Danio rerio: one gene and its partner. Each later gene encodes a partner of the first gene's protein in a complex. Links are inferred from orthologs where the notes say so. Each region holds a gene or a part of one and is shown on either strand. Other genes may lie near its edges. The genes, in order: ston2 and eps15.

Region 1 (3,832 bases):
ACGATTAAGACAATACTCTGATTAAGAGTCTACATTGTAAACAGAGATTTTTGATTTAATTTAAACCAATTAAGGTCATCATCCATATAAATACAAATTTAAATTAAGACATGTGGAGTATGCTGATTTTAGTCAGATTTTTAAAGTGCAGTACAGACATGCAAACACCGCAATCAAACTAATACCAGCGTGTAGGATTTCCGCTGCATTTTGCGACAGGATATTCTATACACATATGGCTGTTTGACACTATTCTCTGCACCTACAGAGTCGGTAAAGGACCATAGACACCTGCGTTACGAATTGCTGAGGGTTTTTTTTTTCTGATACCACGTGAGGTATCGAATTCCATTAAAACAACACTCTTGCAGCAGTTCATACTCGCATCCAATATCTCGTTTGTCACAAGGGGCATGCATGAAATGTTCCTGAATGAAAGTGAAAGTGTTAAACTGCATTTAAAGTTGACAAAATAAAAATAAAAACACCCGAAATGACATGAAACACCAGAGGAAATGTAGATAGTGCAGTGACAGAATGACGTTAATCAAATTATGTGCTTTAACATGTAAAACTTGATCATGAAAGGAACTTTAAGAAAGCAACTCATGTAAACACCTTAATCATATGATTGTCTTATTCAGATAAAGGCAAATAATTTGGTTACTGATGTCTGTGTAAACATAGTGACTGACTGTGAAATCAGATCTAGATAAAGTGATATGTCTTACAAGGCCAATTCTATGATGATGTTAAATTTCTCTGGTCCTGTGGGTTAGGCTAATGTAAAACTTCCTCTAGTAATTTGCATGAAGTGGTTATAATTGCATACATTCCATTAATGTGGTTGTGGTGGTATTTTTTGTAGCGCTGGGTCATCCTCATACATTCTTCTGCCGTTTGGAGCTGGGCTCAGATTGGGAGGTGCCGCCAACATTTGAATGCGTGGTCGAGGTGGAGTTTGACATGCCTTCTGCTTCTGCGTCCAAAGCCGCTGTTCGCTCTCTGTCTGTGGGGGACAAAACTGACTTGAAGAAATGGATCACCTACAAATCGCATTACTCCTATCAGGTATTCTGTGTGTGTGTGAAAGTGAGAGAGAGAGAGAGAGAGAGAGAGAGAGAGAAGGAAGTAGTAAAATATGCTTCATTTCACTAAAGTTGTCCTCTAGGCAAGGATGAATTATGTAAAAGTAACACACTATGTTCCAACATCCAGAAAAAGGCTATAAGCCATTCTACATTGGGTTACATGTTTTAATTAGGACATTTTTAAATGCACAGTTCTATTACCAGTTCAGTTTCCAGAATCATACTTGCATAAAGCATCAAATATATATATATAGCAACAGGCCTAATACGACATATTATAAGACTCAAATATGGAAATAATATCAGATGGTAACTTCGGTCAATTTTTCCCAATAGATAAACAGCTCTCTGTAAAATTTCATCATGCTTTCACTTTCTTTTAAGACATGAAACACACATTTACCAGTAGGAATGACATCCTGCCCTACTCTCTTACAAATAACCATGTGACTATTATACAATGTGACTATTACAAAATCATAATACACTGTGATATAGACTGGGTCGTTAGTTTCTTGGACTGATTTGTTTTCTCACTACAATCGATCCGCTCAATCTAGCAGAGACCACCTCATTCAGGCGATCTCGGATCGATTGATTTGGAACTGCGCAAATAAACGGGGTAAACGAGATAAACTCTGAAACAATGTTTATGTGTGAAAGCACCCTAAGATTGTATTTGCACGCAATTGACATATAGACGCAGCCAAGGTAAACTTTTTGTGACAAGGCAGCACTGCCCCTATCGGGCCAGTAACCACTCTGTCCACTGGCCCGAGCGTCTCGTACACTATATATATATATATATATATATATATATACACACACCGCTGCTGTACATTTTCATGTTAATATTACGGTAGTTTATTCCACCAAAACCCCAGTAAAGACATGGATTATTGCAAAACAAGATGGAGATTTCATTCCAGCAATTGCAGGGCACTGAGGGCAGGGTATGTTATTTAGGTTCTTCTGGATTTTATATAAGTGTGTTGGTGTTTTTATCTGGTTTTTATATAACACATTAAAAAATAATACACATAACTAGGCCTGTATATAACCTTTATTAGCACTGGCAATCAAATAACCGCATTCAAAAAGATTTTTTTCACATAAATATATTGAATCAATGTTTATTATTTGCTGCCTTCTGTTTTTAATCCAGTTTCTTGAACTTTCCCCCCCTTCATGAGTTAAAACTTTTGGAAGTCTATAAATTGACTTTCATTCATTCATTCATTTTTTTGTCGGCTTAGTCCCTTTATTAATCCGGGGTCGCCACCGCGGAATGAACCGCCAGTTTTTACGCAACGGATGGCTTTCCAGCCGCAACCCATCTCTGGGAAACATCCACACATACATTCACACACACACACTCATACACTACAGACAATTTAGCCTACCCAACTCACCTGTACCGCATGTCTTTGGACTGTGGGGGAAACCGGAGCACCCGGAGAAAACCCAAGCGAACGCAGGGAGAACATGCAACCTCCACACCGAAACCCTAACTGAGCAGAGCCTCGAACCAACGACCCAGTGACTTTCTTGCTGTGAGGCAACAGCAGTACCTACTGCGCCACTGCATCCCCCCTAAAATGACTTTTTTTGGCATTTATTATTTTGGCCAATTTAAACAATTATAAAGAACACAAAACAGAAACATTTTTATCCTCTGACTGTGTTTCCTATGTAGAAGAACCACTTCCTGCGCTCCATCTGAGTCTCAGTCTCACACATCATCAGTGACGTCATGTGAAAACAATCTGCAGTATTAATTAGTTTTGTGATCCTTGAATAGGGTCTTAATCAATTTTAATAATGTCATTGTTCTAAATTGGGCTTAATTTTCTTTATACTCTACATTGGTTGTGTAACTTTTTTTAAGCTGTTTGATAGATTTTATAGCTTTGATACTTAGAGTATCTTCATCTTCCTCACTGACACAACTTACCCCTCCTCCCACAGTGATTAAACCTATATTTATGTCATATTATATTCTATACATCTGTCCTTCCCCTCAAAATTACATTTTAGAAGCCTGCTAATTTAATTAGCCTATTTGCTGGTGATTTTCAAGCCCCTCAGGCTGGGGCTGAGTTAAATGTCATGCACCCTCAGACAAAGCCACCGAAAGACAAGTTGTCCCCCTGAAGCGAGCTGCTGTTTCAGCTGCCAGAGCTCGTTTTCCCTACTGCAATTCAAAACATGTCATTAAGGTGGCTGGAGCTTCTTTCTACAAACATCTGTTCCCATTACTGTTCAGCAACCACAGGGAGTGATTCATCACCGAGCAGAGGTGCGCAAAAACAGCACAAGATGTAAAACTCTGCCTGTAACCTGCGTATAGGAATGAATGTAAAGCTGCTGATGAAGCATCTTGCTGTATTTGATTAATGCATTGTAGCAGGTGTCTGAATGCCTGTGAGGTCAGCCAATGGAATGAGCTTGTTCAGAAAGTTTAGTCTGGATCAGAATTTTCTAGATTTGGAAATCTTCAGCCATCTTACTTTTGTGTCAGTTCCGTATCAAGTAAAATTGGATTAGATGACAGTGATTCAGATACAAAACACTTATTCTGATTTCCAAATCTGGATCACTAGTACTCTAAATACAATTACAATTTATGCTACTACATTGTAGAAAATTAGTTGCTACCTTAAATGTTTAAGTTGAATCAAACTAGTTTACAAGTCATCTTAAATTAAAACCATAAAGGGCACCTGATTGACCCCTTTTTC
Region 2 (3,932 bases), on another chromosome or scaffold:
CATCACAAGCTTTGTATTAAATATTGTTTTTAATGACCCAGTTGTGAAATATTTTAAAGCCTTAAAGTAAAAGATTTAATTTATTTTAATTTGAATTAGAGAAGTGGACACTTTTTTCTCCTTTTTCTTATAAGTGGAAACAAAAATGTTGAGCATAGAAATGCAAAGTCAAATTTACAGTGGATAGCACAGTAAACAGGTCTTGTATTTGCTTATTCAGTAATCAATACTCAATGTTACCATAATGCAATTAATTTATTTACAACCTAACCTATTAGTTATTTTTTAATTTTATCTATGATTATTTTTATATTATTATTATTATTGTTGTTATTATTGTTGTTGTTATTATTATTACCCTTATATGGGTTGAGCCCCTCTAAAATGTAAGTAGAATCTCCTCTTATGTTTATTCATTTATTATTCATTCATTTTGACACAATCTACATTGTAAAAGTGCTATGGAAATCAAGATGAATTGAATTTAATTGAATTTTCCTTTAGCTTAGTCCCTTATTTATCAGGATTCTCCACAGCAGAATGAACTGCCAACTGTTCCAGCATGTTTTATGCAGCGAGTGCCCTTCCAGCCACAACCCAGTACTGGACAACACCCATACACTTTCATTAACACACACCTTTAAACCACGGACAATTTAGTTTACCCGAATCACCTATAGCGCATGTTTGGACTGTGGGGTTAAAGCAAAGCACCCAGAAGAAACCCACAGGAACATAGGCAAACTCACACAGAAATGCCATCTTTCCCAGCCACGACTTGAACCAGCGACCTTCTGTGAGGTGACAGTGATAACCACTGAGCCACCATGCCACCTATTATTATTATTATTATTATTATTATTATTATTATTATTATTATTATTATGATTATGATTATTATTATTATTATTATACCCTTATTAGGTTTGAGCCCTTCTAAAATAAAAATCCTAGAATTACTCTTCCTTATATTCATTTATTATAATTAATATTATTGTTGTTAATATTATCATCATTATTATTATTATTAGTATTGCTTGAAAATCTCATGAATAAAAAATATCCGTGAAAAAAAGAGGGATCTCGCATTAGTTCACCACTTCTTCATCTCCTGATCCAGGTATTCCCTCTCCGTGTTTTATTTTATGTCCTCCTGTTCCACTAAGAACTCTATTCCAGTGTCTATTTTGTAAGGCGCCATCACCAGTCATTGGCTGTCCCATCATCACCAACAGATCCACCGAACAATGCACCGCCGGGTTTTGTTTTGCTCCAATCCACCAAGGACTCCAGTGCCAGGTTTTGTAGCATACCTATATTGCCCATTGCCTATCGCAACGCAGGATGAACTAGTGGGAACAGAAACACTATGGCTGCCAGTCTCTCCCTGACTCAGGTAACCTCCCTTTCTACACAAATATAGCACTCTTCAGGCCACTTTCCAGCGGTTCTAATGGGTTTACCAGATCTGTTGAGCTTTAAATGTGCGCTTTAGGGCGGAAAGCGATCACAGCCCGCTGTCTGGTCGCAGCTGTTTAAAGTTGTTTTCAGCCATTTGCTTGTGGAGAGAAAAAGTTTCAGTGTGATCTTTTAGGGACTTGCGTTAGGGCGTAGCTTAGTGTGTCAGTGTTAAACTAGGGTGGATTTACATGTATTTTTTTTCTAGCTTTTTTCGTAGCTGCTGTTCATCTAAAGTGGCAACTTTTGTTTGTTTTCTTTTTAAGGTCATGTTTCTTTAAAATGTCTCGCATATGGACGTGTGGAGGTTCTTGTAAAACTGTCGTTGAAAACTTGAAAGAGGAGCTGCAGTGATGATTACGACTTCATTTTATGGCACAATGACCTTTAAATGATCGTATTAAGGCCATTTTTTGACATACATTGGGTTTGGTTTAGTGGTGTGTAATGTATTAGTATATGGCAGTCTGTTTATAGTGGCATTGTAAAGCAGCAGGAAGTTTTGCTGCACTGCTAGCTCAGTGTTTCTCTATTCATCCTTTTAAAAATAGGAACTAGACATTGTTTGGTGCTAATATAGTCCAAAACGTCTGAATTACATTTATTGTGTGTATTTTTATTTTATAAACTTTATTGTTCTACTCGTAACAACTTTTTTGGGATTCTTTTCGACTGTTTAAACTAGTTAGCCTGCTAGCTAAAGCATTTTTGACACTCGCCCGCTAGCTGGCTAAACTGATGGTCAACCTTCAAAAAAGGTTATAGTTGAGTAATATAAGTCAAAAAGTGCCAAAAATCTCTAAACATTTAAGTAGGAACATATTTCCTATGTGCTCTTTGCATGTTCTGAGCAAATATTAATGTGACATTTATAGATAATATCTGACTGCATGTGCATTCTAGATGCATGTTTTTCTAGTCCACAGGGAATTATGCATTGATTGAACTGATGGTCTGAAATGCTCCTCACTTTGCATCTTGTCTTTTTTATTGCTTTAAGAATAAGACGTTTCTTTAATGGCAGTGGTGGTTGTAGTGTTGACCACATGCAGCTGATGGTGCTCTTAGTTTAGAAGCAAAGCACACATGCATGAAATATGCATTTCAGCATTAGCTCATCGAGAATACTAGGAGGAGAAGGACATACATCTGTCATGTCTTTAGTGTTTTCTGTGCAGCCAAAGAGCATAGGTTTGGTAAGAACTTATTGCAAGGAAACAGGAGGTAAAAGAGCATTTCCAGCGTTATGGATGTGACATTTGCAGTAAAAACTCAAAACATAAATTTACAAAGAAAATATATATGTTAACATTATATTGAAACATATGTTTATATTTTCCAGAACAACTGACCAGAGTTAGGAGATCAGAAAAATATCAATCTGTAAATATGTTAATACATTAAATAAGGGAAATAAACATGCGTTGTGGACGTGACCAAAAAAGGATGTCTGAGTTATACAACATACTTTGTAGAAATTCTGTGAGTTAAACGGCACATTCCAAAAGAAATTATGCTAGTCAAAAGTATAAGAGTTGGCTCTCTAGAACAAACATAATTGATTTTATTTTATTTAATATTTTTGCATTTATGCGGAAAAAGTGTGTCGTTATGGATGTGACTGATGTGAAGTTGACTTTGGTAAATCAATTATTATAGTTTAAAAACAATGAGAGAGATTTTTAAGTATTTCTAAAGTGCGGTAAAATACTTGCTTACACAAAACACTTACTGTAGAAATGGTTACCATATTTTGGTGAAAACTTATTTTTTTTCATGGCAAGGTGGACATTTGCATGGAATTGTTCAAAAGCAGAATTATGTATTTGAGTCACAAAGCCTTTATCTTAAAAATTAAATGTGACTGATTGTTTTCTGCTCGGCTATATTAAGTTATTGCATGTTTCTCATATTTGAGGCCATAATACTCCAAATGTCTCTCTTATTGCTACATTGTTCTGTTGTTGATTCTTCTAGTCTGTTCAAGTTTGGTATAGATAAAAAACCATTGGGTAATAAAAAGGGTGATAAAAAAGGGAGTGCAACCTTAAACCTGGTGTTGTTATAATGGCAATATCTATAGATAACAAAAATGTTTGATTTCATAATTGTAATTTCATTAATTTCTAAAATTAAATGTGAAAAAAAATCTAAAACGAGTATTGAACGTGTACACACGGCAAATATAAATACTTGGAAGCAGCCATGAAATAGTTTTGTTTTAAGGAATCCCACTATCACAAAACATTTATCGCAATCAGAATGTTGCTTTTACAAAAACATGCATCTGTGATGTTGTGTAAATAAACCTTTAATCATATTATACTTGTAGTTATAATACTTGTTATTACATTTGACTGTTCCTAGAGTGTGTATGGGGTTTGGTTAAACAGCCTTTTCCTCCTTTGGTCCTACATTATGGAATGAAATGCAGAGTGTTATCATGTTTGAAACAATTCCATCTCTAAATGTTT

The links.
Region 2: the proteins of ston2 (region 1) and eps15 are in contact, whole or in part, in an NMR structure (PDB 2JXC), measured with the Homo sapiens proteins. The link is inferred for Danio rerio from reciprocal best matches to the Homo sapiens genes STON2 and EPS15. Residues at the interface, in NP_001353779.1 of Homo sapiens: Trp309, Arg310, Ala311, Thr312, Asn313, Pro314, Phe315, Glu318, Gln321, Asp322, Gln324, Pro325, Ser326, Ile328, Asn329, Pro330, Phe331, Phe334, Phe335, Glu337, Gln338, Glu339, Arg340; in NP_001972.1 of Homo sapiens: Leu139, Gly148, Lys152, Pro153, Val154, Leu155, Leu156, Asn157, Ser158, Lys159, Val162, Asp163, Leu165, Gly166, Arg167, Trp169, Glu170, His176, Gly178, Met189, Val192, Tyr193, Leu196, Glu197, Lys198.

The regions. Positions count from the first base shown.
Region 1 is NC_133192.1:18,060,523-18,064,354, forward strand, and holds part of ston2 (stonin-2), read left to right. Parts: intron 1-868; coding exon 869-1,071; intron 1,072-3,832. UniProt on the Homo sapiens protein: Adapter protein involved in endocytic machinery. Involved in the synaptic vesicle recycling. May facilitate clathrin-coated vesicle uncoating.
Region 2 is NC_133183.1:18,336,986-18,340,917, reverse strand, and holds the start of eps15 (epidermal growth factor receptor substrate 15), read left to right. Parts: upstream 1-1,351; 5' UTR 1,352-1,369; coding exon 1,370-1,396; intron 1,397-3,932. UniProt on the Homo sapiens protein: Involved in cell growth regulation. May be involved in the regulation of mitogenic signals and control of cell proliferation. Involved in the internalization of ligand-inducible receptors of the receptor tyrosine kinase (RTK) type, in particular EGFR.